3 linked regions of the Neurospora crassa OR74A genome follow. The protein of the gene in region 1 purifies or fractionates together with the protein of each later gene. This does not show direct contact. Links are inferred from orthologs where the notes say so. Each region holds a gene or a part of one and is shown on either strand. Other genes may lie near its edges.

Region 1 (4,812 bases):
TCTCTCTCAACGGTAAGACGGTCCGATTGTCTGAGCAAAAAGCACGTACGCACACGAACACTCTTGCAACAAGCAGACGCACAATCACACCGGCACCTGCAATAGTGTCATGGTCTCATGTGCTCCCGCTGTCGCCATCATGTCGTTGCAGCCTTTCATCTTTTGTGTGTTTTGTTTCGCTCGAGTCATTGCTCCCGCCAATTTAGGCAGTGCCCTTGACCTTGGCCTCGATCTGGAGCGGGTGAGTACCCTTGACCCAGGGCTCGACCTGGACGTTCCACTGTTTTTGCGCCGTCTTGACCAGCTCCTTGTAGGCCTCGAGGTACTCGGCAGGGTCGACCTTGTCGCCCTCCTCCTTGCCAGAGGACTTCTTGCCCTCGGGCTTGAGCATCACCACCGAGGTGGCGCGCTTGGTGCAGGCGGCAACGCCGAGGTCGGCGCGCGAGCGAATGTACAGGTAGGGAACGCCGTGCTCCTCGCACAGAATGGGGAAGTGCATGATCACGTCCATGGGCGAGATGTCGCCGGCGATGATGACGAGGCCGGGAGCGTCGGCGGGAGGGGAGGCGGCGGTCCGGAGGGGGCACTTCTTGATGGCCTTCTCGCACTCTTTTACGCCGCGGTGGATGGACTTGAGCTTGGCGCCTGTTTGTTTTTTTTAATCAAAAGTTAGCTTGGGTTCAGTACAAGTCGTGCGTGGGCTGCGATTGAGGAGCCTGGCAATGCAATTGGAGAGTAGTCACAAAACGTACCCTTCTTGATCAACTTGTAAATCTTCTTGTGGGTCTTGTCGTCGGCGAGGGGAAGGGCAAAGGGGACGAGGTCCTCGGCGGTCTTGACGACATCCTCAGGGTCGACGGAACCCTCCTTCTCGAGGTGAGCCTCGACGGCCTTGGCGAGCTTCTCGGTCTTCTCCTTCTTCTCCTTCTTGTCCTTCTTCTCCTTCTTGACACCGGCCTCCTCGCTCATCTTCTTCTCCTTCTTGTCCTTCTTCTCGGACTTGTCCTTCTTCTCCTTGATCTTGTCGGTGGCACCCATCTTGTCGGATTAAATGTGTGTGTGTGTTGTTGTTGGTGGTGGTGGTTGGGTGTGTGTAGATAAAGTTGGTGGTGGAGGGGGATGGGGTATCAAACAGGAATTAAAGAATGGTTATACAGACAACCACTGCAGTAAAGAGAAAAAAAAGTTACTGGGTTGGGGCGTCAAGGTATTTGGTATCGTGATGGGGCGGTTGATCGCAGAAATGGATTCTTCAACGCAGATTTTACTGGGTCCATCAAGTGACCCAGTCAATCAAAGCAGAGCGACGCGACCAAAAATTTGTAGGCCAATTGTAAAGCCGTTCCGCCCGGGGGCCGATAATGCAGGTGAGCGCCTGGAATTGGGTGCGATAAGAGGGACCAATTTTCCGATAAGCACGCGATAAGAGGAAATGTCTTAAACTTCCACCTTTTGCTTGGTGGGGCTTTCCATTCAGTACGACAGGGATTAGTAGTAGTCTTGAACTTAAACAAGGCCTGCTTCTAGCCTGCCGCAAACTGGCAAACAGCGGCAGTGCTTTGTCCTTGAAGGCCGGTTGCTTGCCTGCCCCACTAAATTTCTAGAGCTTGTGATACCTACCTCCAAGCGCATTCAGTGTGAGCCATTGACTCACCTCGACAATTCACTGGCAAAAAGTCCACAATCCCAAGCGACATTGGCCCAGTTCTGGAAGCTATTGTTGGAGAACCTTTTTGCGACCAGCAGCCTTGTCATTCCCCCCCGCCTATATCGATTTCATAGATATCCGTCCAGTACCATTCGTAAAGACCATACAGCCTCGAGCAGGGAACAGTCGCACTCTCACTTCGACATCACCTCCACAATACCTCAGTAGCACACAGAGTACTATACACAGCTCATCGCCATGGCGTCGTCGCAAATGAGCTATGCCCCCACGTTGGGCAAGCTCCTCAAGTCTCTCAACACTCAGCCCTTGGAGGCTTCTATCGAGGCTCTTATTTAGTACGCCTACGCCTGCTTCATATCTATCTTATATCAGATCCTAACATGGTTGGGCAGCCTCCTAAAACGTCGCCAAGTCAAGGGCGATGATGTCGCCAATGCCACAGCCCATATGCTGCTCCAGGTCGTCGCCAAGTCTAAGTGGCAGAACGTCGATCAGCTGCTCGCAAAGGTCTCCAACACCGGCCACAGACTTGCCCAAGCTGCTCCCACTGAGCAAGTCATCGGCAACGTTGTCCGCCGAGTAATGGGTCTTATTCGTGATGAGGCTTCCGAGGACAGAAATGCCGACGAGATGGGCGACTCAGTATCCGACCTCTCCCAGCTGCCCACAACGCCCACCATTTCCACAAGGCCAGGCCCCACGCCCCTCCGCGCCGCGACTCTCCCCATGTCCAAGTCCATGTTCAACCTTCTCTGCGTCTCAGAGACCGCACAGTCACCAGTTACCGGCGCATCTACCCCCATGTCCCAGGGCGCATCTGCCAACATGCATGCCCTACGGTCCGAAGTTATCGATGGCATCGAAGAGATTATGGACGAGATCAGCCAGGCGGACGACCAGATTGCGGGTTTCGCGGACATCCAGATTCACCCCGGCGATTACGTGCTCGCCTACCTCCCCTCCCCAACAGTCGAGAGATTCCTCCTCAAAGCCGCAGCAAAGAGGAGGTTTACCGTGTTCATCGCCAGCGCTGAGCGTCAAAAACCCGGCGAGGTGCCCCATGCTGCCCTACGGAAGAAGCTCAACGGTCTCGGGGTCAACGCCATCAGCCTGGCTAGCAACGGCTTGATGGCCTATATGCCTAGGGTGAACAAGGTCGTTATCAGCGCCAAGGCCGTATATGCGAACGGCGGTATTTCCACAGAGAGTGGGTGCAGTACTGCTGCTAGGGCAGCGCAGGAGTACTCCAAGCCCGTTATCGTTCTAAGCGGTGTTTACAAGTTCTGCCCCGTAGATCCGTCGGACGATGGGACCGAGTTCGAGCAGGGAGATTCTTCGACGTATGTCGACTATGCCGACGGTGAGGCCGTCGATGCCCTCGAGGTAGAGAACATCGTGGGCGAGTACCTGCCACCCCAATACGTCGATGTATACCTAACAAACCTGTAAGCCCTGAACCCATAATTTTGATGACTGAAGAACCCCAACACTAACAACTTTACAGTGGCCCCCAAACACGAGATCATCTTGCCACCATCATGGCCGACCATTACAAGCTCGAAGATATGGGCTTGTCTTTGCATCTGCCTTAGAAGCCGAAGAGAAAAAAATGAAGAAAATAAAAAGACGCGGTTAATAATGTATCATGCTGCCGGTCCAATGCAATACTCGTTCAAATACCTCTCGACTGTTCCTGGTTCAACCTGGCCGACCAATATGCGTTCCGAAAATACAACATCGTGCGTTGCATATATGTCAACTGAAGAGTCATATCTGTACCCATAAACTTGTTTGTTCCTTATCATCGTGCATATTTCGGTAGTCCCGATGGCGAGGTTTTGCGGATTCACCGGACTCAGTAGCTTTGGACGCTGGCAGAGGCTTCGACGGGCATGGTTAGATGGGGTGAAGGGACAAGATGTGTCGCTTTTTCTTGCTGGGCCGCCATCGAACTTAAGGATCTAGATGAGTGCAGTACAGCATCACGTAAGGATATCGTATATAAGCAGGAATCGGGGCCTCCGCTGCGGACATCGGATGCTGTTATGTCGGACTTCATCTGCGCGCCGAAATATATTTCCCTGGAAAATACATCTCCCTGCACAGGGAGTCTGACAGATACTTAAACTTGCCCATCCATTCTCTTTCCACTCGAATTAATTCCCTCTCTTTTTCTCGTCATCCGTCTACGTACTCGGTTCCTCGCTCCTTAGGTCATTTATCCACGTAAATCAATACATCAACGGCTTGTCCTTACTTCACGATCCTTCAGACACCGATACTTGTCTATCGCGTCCCTTTCTTCGAGCGGGAGTCATTCTCCGTCTTCTCCAGCTCCTTTTTCATACCATCCACGTGACTGTTTGGGGCTACATCCTCACGGTCTACGCTCGAACGGCCTACACACGTACGGTCTATATACCTACACTACACACAACCACTGTTCAAGACTCCTACAGTGCAAATCCCCACGGGTCATTACCTCCGATCATGATCCCATAGTCTATCCATCTACGACCTACATACCTACCTACGATCCGTACACCGACGGTCCAAAAACCCACGACCATCGTCCACATAGCTCAACCCGTTACCTCCTCGGGGAATCCGCTCCAACCTCAAATCATACGCTCGCTCGGCCGGATCGCGATAATCCAACCAGTCAAAGTCAACTACCACCAAAATGTCACACGCACGCTCCTCGTTTTTATTTCAAGTCCTCTCCCTTTCCACCGACACCCCCACGACTTCTTTCACTAGCCCCCCGCAAGAACAACCTGCCACCGCTGCCGCCGCATATCCTCCTCTCGGCTCTCCGAGAAGTGCACCCACAGACTGGCCCGACGAAGCGGAGGAGATAATCTGCTACTACAAAAAGATGCGCGAAGAAGGCAACTCACCCCTCCTTGACCCCGCGAGGGTACCTGATGATGTTTATATGGGTATGGAGGAGGACATCAAGAACCGGCGCCTTTTGAATAAATGGAAGAAGAGAAGAGATCTCGACGATTTTAGGAAGTTTGTTATGGATTACTTTGGGATTGTTGAAGAGAGAGAGGAAGAAGAAGAAGAAGAAGGACTCGAGGAAGAAGAAGAGGAGGACGATGAAAAGGACCTTGAAGAATACGAAGACCTCGAAGATG
Region 2 (4,506 bases), on another chromosome or scaffold:
GGCTGTCGTCGTCGTCGGTGTCATGCATTTGGATATCTTCAGTGAAGAGTGACATGATAGAGAACAGTGATGACATGGGGGCACCGTTCCGCACTTCGGTCAGAAGCTGGTAGCGCTGGCGACCCGGAGCAAAGCCTTCCTCATCGTCGCTCTCGAACGAAGGGCCACTGCTTGAGCGTCGACCATCTCTGGCGGATTTAACAAAGATCTCCACCATACCGTCGACCACAAGACAGAATCCTTGCTCTTCTTCGAGGTTGAGGGTTTCGCCAGCGATCAGCTTCCTCGTTTGCATGCTGCGGGTCAGTTCATGGAAAACCGGCCTTTCCAGATAACCAAAGATTTTGATGGCGCTGAGAAACTCGTCAAAGTAGCTAGCTAGCCCAGACTTTACTCCTTCCTCCTGTGTTTCGGGGAACAGATCAACAGCTGGCTCTTTGCGCTGGGGCTCAGGAGGAAGCCGTGAGTACATGTTTAAGTAGCGATATCTGACTACCCAGGTCACTCCTGCCATCATGAACAACATAATAAGCACACTAAGCATACCGACGGTTAGATCCACCAGCCTTGAGTCCATGTATACAAAATGCGGCTGGCGGATGACTTACAGCGTAGTGGCGTTCATGGTCACCGTCAGACTAGTCGAAAAGATGTTGAACAGAAAGGTGGGTGTAGTGATGGTGGTCAGCTTGATGACAAAGTATAGCACACTCGAGATGCGGTGCAACAGCCAGAGGATGATGGTGAACCATGAAGTCGGGGTGTGTTCGGGAACCACATCGCTAGTAGCTTTCGAGACCGCATCGCTGGCGAGAGCGACGACAGACGAGAGGGCTTCTGTAGGATCGGCGAGGATTGCCGTCGCAGTCGTGGACGTTGTCTCGGAAAGCACCGAGCTCATGGCGTTGCCGAGGTTGCTAAGAGACTCCATTTTCAGAAGCCTGAAGCACCAAGCAAGCAAGCCAAGAGTTACCGGGCGAGCCCGTCGTGTAGATCGGTTCTGACAGAAAGAAGAGAGTGTGTATGTATGTTTTTGTTTTTGTGTTTCCTTTTTTTTATAGGGTTGTAGGTATCGCGGTAGTGTCGCGCCGTCGTCGTGGGGATGGTCGTGAAGAATAGTTGGTGTTCGATCGATCAGCGTGTCTGAACCCCAAAAGTACCGTCGCAACCTGATCAAGACCTATGAGCTGTCCCCTCCCCGATGTGCCTGTGGTTGAAACCCAACTCTTACTACCTGGTCTGCGGTGTCGTCGCTCTGTTCTTTTTCATATCGGTCCAAGTGTTGTCACCCAAGACGGAGACCGTCGAGAAAAGCGAAACGGGTGAGCTCCTCCAAAAGTAACGACATGTGCGGAGGGTTTAGATGAGCCCAGTGTCGTCGGGTGTTGGTCGGCCCTCGGGATTCGTTTGGGTGCCGTGCAAAAGTCGAATCTCCAAGTCGCCGTTGGTGGACAAGCAAGGTTCAGTGATTGAAGCTCCCTAGCTCGACGATGTCCAAGGAAGATTCCAGGCTTATCAGTGACTAACCCCACTGTCGGTTCACGATTGACGTCGTTGTTCCTGCCCACTGAGCTGGCGCTTGGCACAGTGGAGTTCGGGGCAGGTGGAGTAAGTAGAGGTACCTAACCGAGAGCAGGTACCTGCCTTTGCGTACCGTTGTTCCCACCTGGGCTGCTGTGCGCTTCCTTACCTAGGTACCCGACTTACCCCACCTCAAAAAAAAAAGATGGAGCCGCGTCTCACTTGCCGTCACGGTCAGAACGTGAAATTCACCCCTCAATCCGGCGCACCAGCCACAGCCTACTTCGTTCCCTCCCAAAGTGCCCACGCCACTTTTGCAGCCTGTCTGCACGTAATTTTTGGTTGGTACCCGAAAAATACTGCGACGCATCTGGCTAACTTTGAGTGAGTCCTTTGAGCCTCGCTGGACCCTCCGAGAACCCGCTGCCGCAACCAGAACTCGAACTTCCAGAGGACCTTTCCCAGCTGTGGCCACTTGCAGCGAAACTCGGTCAATTTTCTTTCTCGGCCATCAACCCCTCCAGACCATCCACTCGAATTCCATCTCGCCCATTGTCGCGAAGCTCGTCGCCGACATTACCCTCCCCCTTTCAACACCACTAACACCACCACTTATTTCACCGTTTGCCCCGCCCGGGAAAAGGCACCAGTCGCCAACATGTCGCTCTCAAACTGCCGTTTCTATGAGGAGAAGTATCCTGAAATCGACTCGTTCGTTATGGTCAATGTTAAGCAAGTACGATACACTGGGGTCCCGGTGGTGCGCATGCGCATGTGGATGCGTCAGAGCTGACCCCCAGATTAGATTGCCGATATGGGCGCCTACGTCAAGCTTCTCGAGTACGACAACATCGACGGCATGATCCTGCTCTCTGAGCTTTCCAGAAGACGTATTCGTTCCATCCAGAAGTTGATCCGTGTCGGTCGCAACGAGGTCGTCGTCGTTCTCCGTGTCGACAAGGAGAAGGGTTATATCGATTTGTCCAAGCGTCGTGTGTCCCCCGAGGATATCGTTCGTTGCGAGGAGCGTTACAACAAGAGCAAGATCGTCCACTCGATTATGCGCCACGTTGCCGAGAAGACTCTTGTTCCCATCGAGCAGCTTTACGAGACAATAGGATGGCCCCTCAACAAGAAATACGGCCACTCGCTTGATGCCTTCAAGCTTTCGATCACGTACGTCATTCCGGGAAATAGGCGTACAGCTGTGGGACAAAATGGCGGTATTGGACAAGATGCTGACATGGATGTGAAGCAACCCCGACGTCTGGAATGACATCCAGTTCCCCACCGAGGCCGTTGCCGAGGAGCTCAAGACCTACATCAGCAAGCGTTTGACTCCCCAGCCTACCAAGGTCCGTGCCGATGTTGAGGTCACTTGCTTCGGCTACGAGGGTATCGATGCTATCAAGACCGCTCTCCGCACTGCGGAGGCTCGCAACACTGAGGAAACCCAGGTCAAGTGCAGACTTGTGTCCCCTCCCCTTTATGTGTAAGTCTTTGCCAGAAATAGTCTTGCAATGTTGAAGACAGAGTGGAAGCTAATAACTATACACAGCCTTACCAACACCTGCTTGGACAAGAATGCCGGTATTGCCCGCCTTCAGGAGGCCATTCAAGACATGCGGACCAGCATCGAGGCTGCTGGTGGCCACCTTGTGGTGAAGATGGAGCCCAAGGCTGTCACTGAGTCCGATGATGCTGAGCTCCAAGCTCTTATGGAGAAGCGTGAGCGTGAGAACGCTGAGGTCAGCGGCGACGAGAGTGTCAGCGAGTCCGACGACAATATCCCCGAGACCGTCTAAAGCGCCTCTTCATTTTGCAGCCATTCTTAAACGGAGCTATCTTTGCAGGCTCATTGGGATACTCGACACTATTTTGAGGAAAGGTTTAGGGATGCATGTATACAGTTTTTGCGACACAGGGCTGGCGTCTAGGGGATACAAAAGTCCTTCAGGCGGTAGAGGAATCAACCAAAAGATTGCATCAAGCGTATGCCTAATGAATGTGAGCGAGGGACGAGGATTGATGAACACAAGACTTGATATGGATACATAGTCATTTTATGGATGCACTTGCTGTAACTAGGTAGATCTAGGCGTTCAAGGATATGCAGCTACCGGGGCTGATAAGCGATCTCATCGTTTTCTTATCGCCGCCTGCCCGGGCATGTGGCTGCAATTATTGTCTTCTCCATGTTAACACACAAGCTCCGTACTGCTCACTGCCCTGCTCACTGAGCACGTTGAGGCGAACATACGCCCTCTATTTCACAGCAGCATTGCGATTCACAGCAAAGAGTTGCATCGCATTGACATCTTCGGTAGCTCGATAACTCGCTTGGTCGGATAGCGATGGCGGCGCGATGGGGAGCAGGAATTCGGAACGGATTCCTCGGTCAGTTCTCACACTACCTCATTCGCTACGCAACATGGATCCCTCCATTGGTGGTCTTCAACGGCTGGGTTGCCGAGATCACACAAATCAAGGGGCCGTCCATGTATCCTTTCTTCAACCCGCACTACAATGAGTCAACACGTCGGGACATCGTACTGGTCTCTAAGTGGTACCCGGACCGGAACCTCAAGCGCGGCATGATTGTGACCTTTAGGTGAGATCCAAAATCTCATCCTACAGCATCTGGCGTGCCGCATTCGGGGCATTGGTTGGGAACCTGACGACTAACTGTAACCCAGAAACCCACTGAACCCAAAGGGAAAGGTCGTAAAAAGAGTGGTCGGAATAGCAGGCGACGTGATCCGTACCAAGGCGCCTTACCCGCATGAATACGTCCAGGTACCAGAAGGGCACATCTGGGTAGAGGGAGACGGCGACAAGACCAAGGACAGCAACTACTACGGCCCGATATCAGCGTGCTTGGTCACCGGCCGTGTCACGCATATTCTGTCGCCGTGGGATCGATTTGGGCGGGTAAAGTGGTGGGAGCATAACTTGCGACCGGGGATCAAGAAGGCACGCCATCTG
Region 3 (4,825 bases), about 4.4 Mb from region 1:
AGAGCCTGGATAGTTTTGGTGGTATGCTTGGATGATGGTATGAGTAGGGCTATGGCAGCAAGGATGAGTTATGGTGATGGATAGCTATTCGCTTCATCATGGGTGTGCGGTGTCGCAACCCTCGACAATTATACCCAGATCAGTGTAATTACGTAGTGATGGCTTGGGTTAATATGGCGAACGAGGAAAGGAAGATCAGAACCTGCATGTTATAATAGTATCAGTCGAACCTAAAGTCAGCAATAGTAATGGGTATAATTGGCATTGTCTGATGATCAGATGTATCTGCAGAGCTTCAACGCTTGCTTCCACAAGTATAACGACAGTCCACATGCATTCTACACATGTCTGTAATTCTTCACCACCAATGCAACGCAAACTGTGCAAGAACGAAACATACCCCTTTATGCTAGTGTTCCCATACCGTAACGCCAAAAGAGCACTGTGTCCACCCCTGGTATCCCAGATTATACCGAAAAAATAGGGTATCGAGAATTGTGCTGCCGTCGCCTTTGACTCGAGTACCTCATCACCACGGTCGCCTGTCTGCCTCCCTCATACTGATACTGGCGTAGCAGCTCCTATCCAACCGGCAATGTTGAATAGCGTCTTGTTATACCATTGGACCTTGACCCCGTGCGCCCACTCCATGTACCGTCCCCAACCTGCCGGGCCATGTTAGCAACTGACTTTCCGCATCGTCGTTATTGTCTCCTCCCACAGCGCAAGCTGTCTTTCCCAAGATCTGGTTTTGGTTTGTCTTACTCCAATAAGCAAACTTGCGCCCCAAAAACTTGCCCGCGAACGGTATTAGCACCAAGTTCAAGAGAAGCTGCAGCTGCTCGAGACTCTGTTCCCATTCCTTTTGTGCGTCTGATTCGTCGTCGTACTCGGAGTCGTCCGAGCCTAGGATACTGCTGGAGATGGACGGGAGGGAGTCGACATCGTCGTTGTCGGTTGACGGGGAGTGGTCGTGGAGGACGTAGGAATCGGAGGGGGTGGACATGGTTTTGGATGTCCCGAATGCGCAATTTGTCTGTCTGAGGGTATCGCGTCTCTGGCCGGGAGTAGGTAGCTATCGTCAGTGTGGTTTGGATGAGGCGAGCAAGTGGTCGGCGCCGGCGCACGGTCGGTTGTCGCGGTGAAGATGGTACTGTAAGTAGCTATCGTAGCTCGGGCAAATTGCGATAGTTCGGGATGGAGACACTGTACGAATCGGCGTAACGCCTGACGTGTAGGATATTGTAGAAATCGCGTGGGACGAACTTGATTGCTGCTGGGAGATTCGTTGTCGGTTACGAACACAGCGATACACGGAGATGGATACCTCTACGGACTCGGCGCGCCTTCCAAGGTTCGTGATGGAGCTGGTTGTTGTCGGTGACCGATGACGGGCCACGGCACCAACTGCTGCAGCAGTGCAGCTATGCGATGCTGGAATGGACACCACTCACCTATCGCTGCCGCCAAGCACTGCACCGGACTGCAAGTGCCAGTGCCAACCCAACCGTGTCGGACTGTGCGGCCGTGGCTCGAGCGGGTTGAAGGCACCGTGCTGCAGGGAGGAGGGCTGCATGGCCTGGAAAATGGAGAAGCGGAGGCGATTTGTAGTTGCAAGTGGCGGGCAGCTGTCTGAGCTCTTCCCACCCCACTTGTCAGGTGATTGAGAAGACTGACTCACAGTTTCGCTTCAATCAACGTCATGAGGTGAACACAGCTGAGGCGTGGTGCCGGTGCCCCATCCAGAGCCGTGTGTACAGAAAGAACTCCGCTCAGTCTCCAGCCCAACGACAGAACTAAACGACAGTAGTAGTAGGTAACCAGACCAGGACCCAAGCGGCATCCAACTACCTAGGTCCCCGCAAAGAACAATTCCAGGTCCGAAACTGAAAGAAAGCTGAGATCAGTCTGCCTGCATCGATACCTCTCCCGACCCCAAAGTCTACCTAATCTCATCCATCGACAAAATCCACTCTCTGCGACCAACAAAGAGTCCACCGGAAGAGACATCGATTACAAAGAAAAAGACGGACAATCACACACCTACAGACAGACAGACAGACACCACCACACTCTCAAACACACCAGTGGCCCAGCATGGATTCTGAAGTAAGTACCTGGGATGGATCTCCTTGCTTCAGTACACACTCACTACCTCTACGCCCACACAACACACCCTCCGTCCTCCCCGACCCTACCACCACGCTAGAGGCAGACACCTCGAGCCCTGGGGGGAGCCACGCTTCTCGCCTAGTCAAAAATACTAAGGAAATAAAAAGTCCCATTCACCACACTGCACACCCCTCACTGTACTTTGCTACCTACGCAGTGCAATTATACCTATCCCCGGCCCCAGCCCTCAAGTCCCCTGACGTGTACTGCCCCTCCAAGGCGCCAACCCTCTCCCTCCACCCCCAGCCCAAAATCCACCATAAAGTTCTGGCACTCTGCAGCGCGAAAACGCCGCCAATCATCCCAAAAAATTCCGAGCTTTCCTATCCACACTCGACGGCGAAATCCTTGACCGCTATCGCGACTCCCACGACAAGCGCCTTATCCACTCCGATATACTAACCCTTTAGGCGCCCTCTATCAAAAGACGCCCCTCGCGCAAGTCTGTCACCTTTACCGACGAGAAGCTAGTTGTCAACCCCGACGGTTCTGTCACCATGGACGCCTCTCCCGCCGACGAAATCAAGGAGACTGCCCAGTCCCACTCTGCTCGTACGCCGCCCCTCCACGCCGCTCTCGGGGCCTTTACTGATGCCCCCCAAGCCACCGAGCCCCAGGATGCTGCTGCTGCTGCCGCCCCCGCCGCCGATGATGGCCTCGACCTTTCGCTCATGAAGAAGAAGAAGAAGAAGGTCAAGAAGGAGGACGATGCCGACGCCGCTGCTGATGAGGCCGCCCCTGCCGAGGGTGACGGTGCTATCGACCTCACCATGAAGAAAAAGAAGAAGAAGAAGGTCGTCAAGGAGGATGATGAGTTCGCCAAGAAGCTGGAGGCTCTCAACATTGAGGGCAAGGAGGGCGAGGAGGCCGCCCCCCAGGAGGACGAGCAGGAGGGCGATATGGACCAGGGCACCGGCATTTGGGCCCACGACGAGACCAAGCCCATCAGCTACAACGCTCTTCTGTCCCGTTTCTTCGCCCTTCTCTCGCAAAAGAACCCCGACCACGCCTCTACCGGTACACGGTCGTACAAGATCCCGCCCCCGCAGTGTCTCCGTGAAGGCAACAAGAAGACCATCTTCGCCAACCTGCCCGAGATTTGCAAGCGCATGAAGAGAGCCGACGAGCACGTTACTTCTTACCTTTTCGCCGAATTGGGTACCAGCGGTTCCGTCGACGGCAGCAGGCGTCTGGTCATCAAGGGTCGTTTCCAGCAGAAGCAGATCGAGAACGTTCTGCGTACCTACATTATCGGTATGTCTATTTGATCCTGTCGTCGTTTGGACGTTTTGCGCCCAAGTAGACAATGTCACCACCAGCACCCAACGTTTTGCTCTGACTACAAATGCTAACATGCTCAACAGAGTACGTTACCTGCAAGACGTGCCGTTCCCCCAACACCGAGCTCTCCAAGGGCGAGAACCGTCTTTAGTAAGTTGGCCTCTGTTTACGACGACCATAGCCCCAAAATGCTGACATGTCACAGTTTCATTACCTGCAACTCTTGCGGTTCTAGGCGGTCTGTCCAGGCCATTAAGACCGGTTTCTCTGCCCAGGTCGGCAAGAGAAAGAAGATGCAGGGTTAAGCGGTTTTTGTTTTCTTGTTTCGAGGCCCTTGCAGTTTGCTTTTCAATGTTTTCACGCTTCAAGGACGGAGTTAAGACGGCATTGTATATGGCTGGTTGGGCACGGGTCTTTTACGAAGTAGCACGGCCCCTCTGAACGGCAATCTCTCATCTCCAGTACACGAGAGAGAGGATGGAAGAGAGAGTCTGTGCTACAAAATCAGGTGAATTCCTTACGCGGTAGGGTACGGGTTAATATGACGATACTTGATGAAGAATTGGTACACAAAAAGTTCTGGTTTTTGATGATGGTGGCACACTTATCCTTACTTTGCATAGGGAGTCTGATAAAGAGGAGGGCTTTCTTCTTTTCCTGAGCTTGTCTGATTTATATGGATGAGGGCTGCGAGGTTGTATCTAGACTGATGTGGGATTCAGAGGTTCTCAGGTCATTCATGACCATGGTCAGCAAGCTAGACTGGGAGAGCAAGGAAGAGGCTGACTGAGCGCAGGATTACGAAGCGATGGATTTTGAGATCTTGCGAACAGGAATTATTCTCTGTTCTTTGCAGTATGTATAGCCATTCAGTCTACCTTTATAAACTACATTATGTTATCGAAACTCAAAGTGGCAGTTGAGTAAAATGATAAACCTTGATACTCCGCGATTGGTGAGAAAAAGCGGCCGCTTAGGTTCGAAATCTCACCTTGACGCGTATACATTGCGTATACACTACGTTCCGATGTTTTGGCGATCGATCCATGATATGCCGAGCACATGCATGATAGTTAGCTTCGGGAGAATCTTTCCCCTCCACATTTTGCATCAACAAACCCATATAAGACGATGGGCCGCAGGCAACAACTCAACGGTTCAACCTCGTCTGTCTGTTCGATAGATTAGTCAACACTTTCCAAGTCAACGCGTAACGTGACTCATCACTACTTTACCTGCTCGATTCCACTCATCACTCAAGTCTTCCCCTTCATCATCACAACCACCAGGTACAAGCCAAAATGACCATCCGCTAAACCGGCCCCAGAGGAGTCGACCAGCACATCCCCCACCCTTCTTCTCACCACCACAG

The links.
Region 2: the proteins of NCU08952 (region 1) and NCU08277 purify together in Saccharomyces cerevisiae (affinity purification with mass spectrometry; 5 studies listed by BioGRID, with this or other methods). This does not show direct contact. The link is inferred for Neurospora crassa OR74A from reciprocal best matches to the Saccharomyces cerevisiae genes GCD7 and SUI2.
Region 3: the proteins of NCU08952 (region 1) and NCU04640 purify together in Saccharomyces cerevisiae (affinity purification with mass spectrometry; 5 studies listed by BioGRID, with this or other methods). This does not show direct contact. The link is inferred for Neurospora crassa OR74A from reciprocal best matches to the Saccharomyces cerevisiae genes GCD7 and SUI3.

Annotation. Positions count from the first base shown.
Region 1 is NC_026505.1:5,799,404-5,804,215, forward strand, and holds NCU08952 (translation regulator GCD7), read left to right. Parts: upstream 1-1,571; 5' UTR 1,572-1,906; coding exon 1,907-2,004; intron 2,005-2,061; coding exon 2,062-3,114; intron 3,115-3,173; coding exon 3,174-3,261; 3' UTR 3,262-3,921; downstream 3,922-4,812. Other genes in the region: NCU08951 (ribosome biogenesis protein Nhp2), read right to left, coding at 203-645, 753-1,038; NCU08953 (hypothetical protein), read left to right, coding at 4,353-4,812. UniProt on the Saccharomyces cerevisiae protein: Acts as a component of the translation initiation factor 2B (eIF2B) complex, which catalyzes the exchange of GDP for GTP on the eukaryotic initiation factor 2 (eIF2) complex gamma subunit.
Region 2 is NC_026504.1:2,569,304-2,573,809, reverse strand, and holds NCU08277 (eukaryotic translation initiation factor 2 alpha subunit), read left to right. Parts: upstream 1-1,742; 5' UTR 1,743-2,179; coding exon 2,180-2,257; intron 2,258-2,326; coding exon 2,327-2,697; intron 2,698-2,776; coding exon 2,777-3,013; intron 3,014-3,079; coding exon 3,080-3,326; 3' UTR 3,327-3,717; downstream 3,718-4,506. Other genes in the region: NCU08276 (hypothetical protein), read right to left, coding at 1-536, 609-931; NCU16791 (mitochondrial inner membrane protease subunit 2), read left to right, coding at 3,876-4,132, 4,218-4,506. UniProt on the Saccharomyces cerevisiae protein: eIF-2 functions in the early steps of protein synthesis by forming a ternary complex with GTP and initiator tRNA. This complex binds to a 40S ribosomal subunit, followed by mRNA binding to form a 43S pre-initiation complex.
Region 3 is NC_026505.1:1,363,664-1,368,488, reverse strand, and holds NCU04640 (eukaryotic translation initiation factor 2 beta subunit), read left to right. Parts: upstream 1-1,731; 5' UTR 1,732-2,097; coding exon 2,098-2,109; exon of another isoform or gene 2,110-2,582; coding exon 2,583-2,724; intron 2,725-2,775; coding exon 2,776-3,426; intron 3,427-3,536; coding exon 3,537-3,603; intron 3,604-3,658; coding exon 3,659-3,758; 3' UTR 3,759-4,405; downstream 4,406-4,825. Other genes in the region: NCU16952 (hypothetical protein), read right to left, coding at 556-665, 766-1,006. UniProt on the Saccharomyces cerevisiae protein: Component of the eIF2 complex that functions in the early steps of protein synthesis by forming a ternary complex with GTP and initiator tRNA.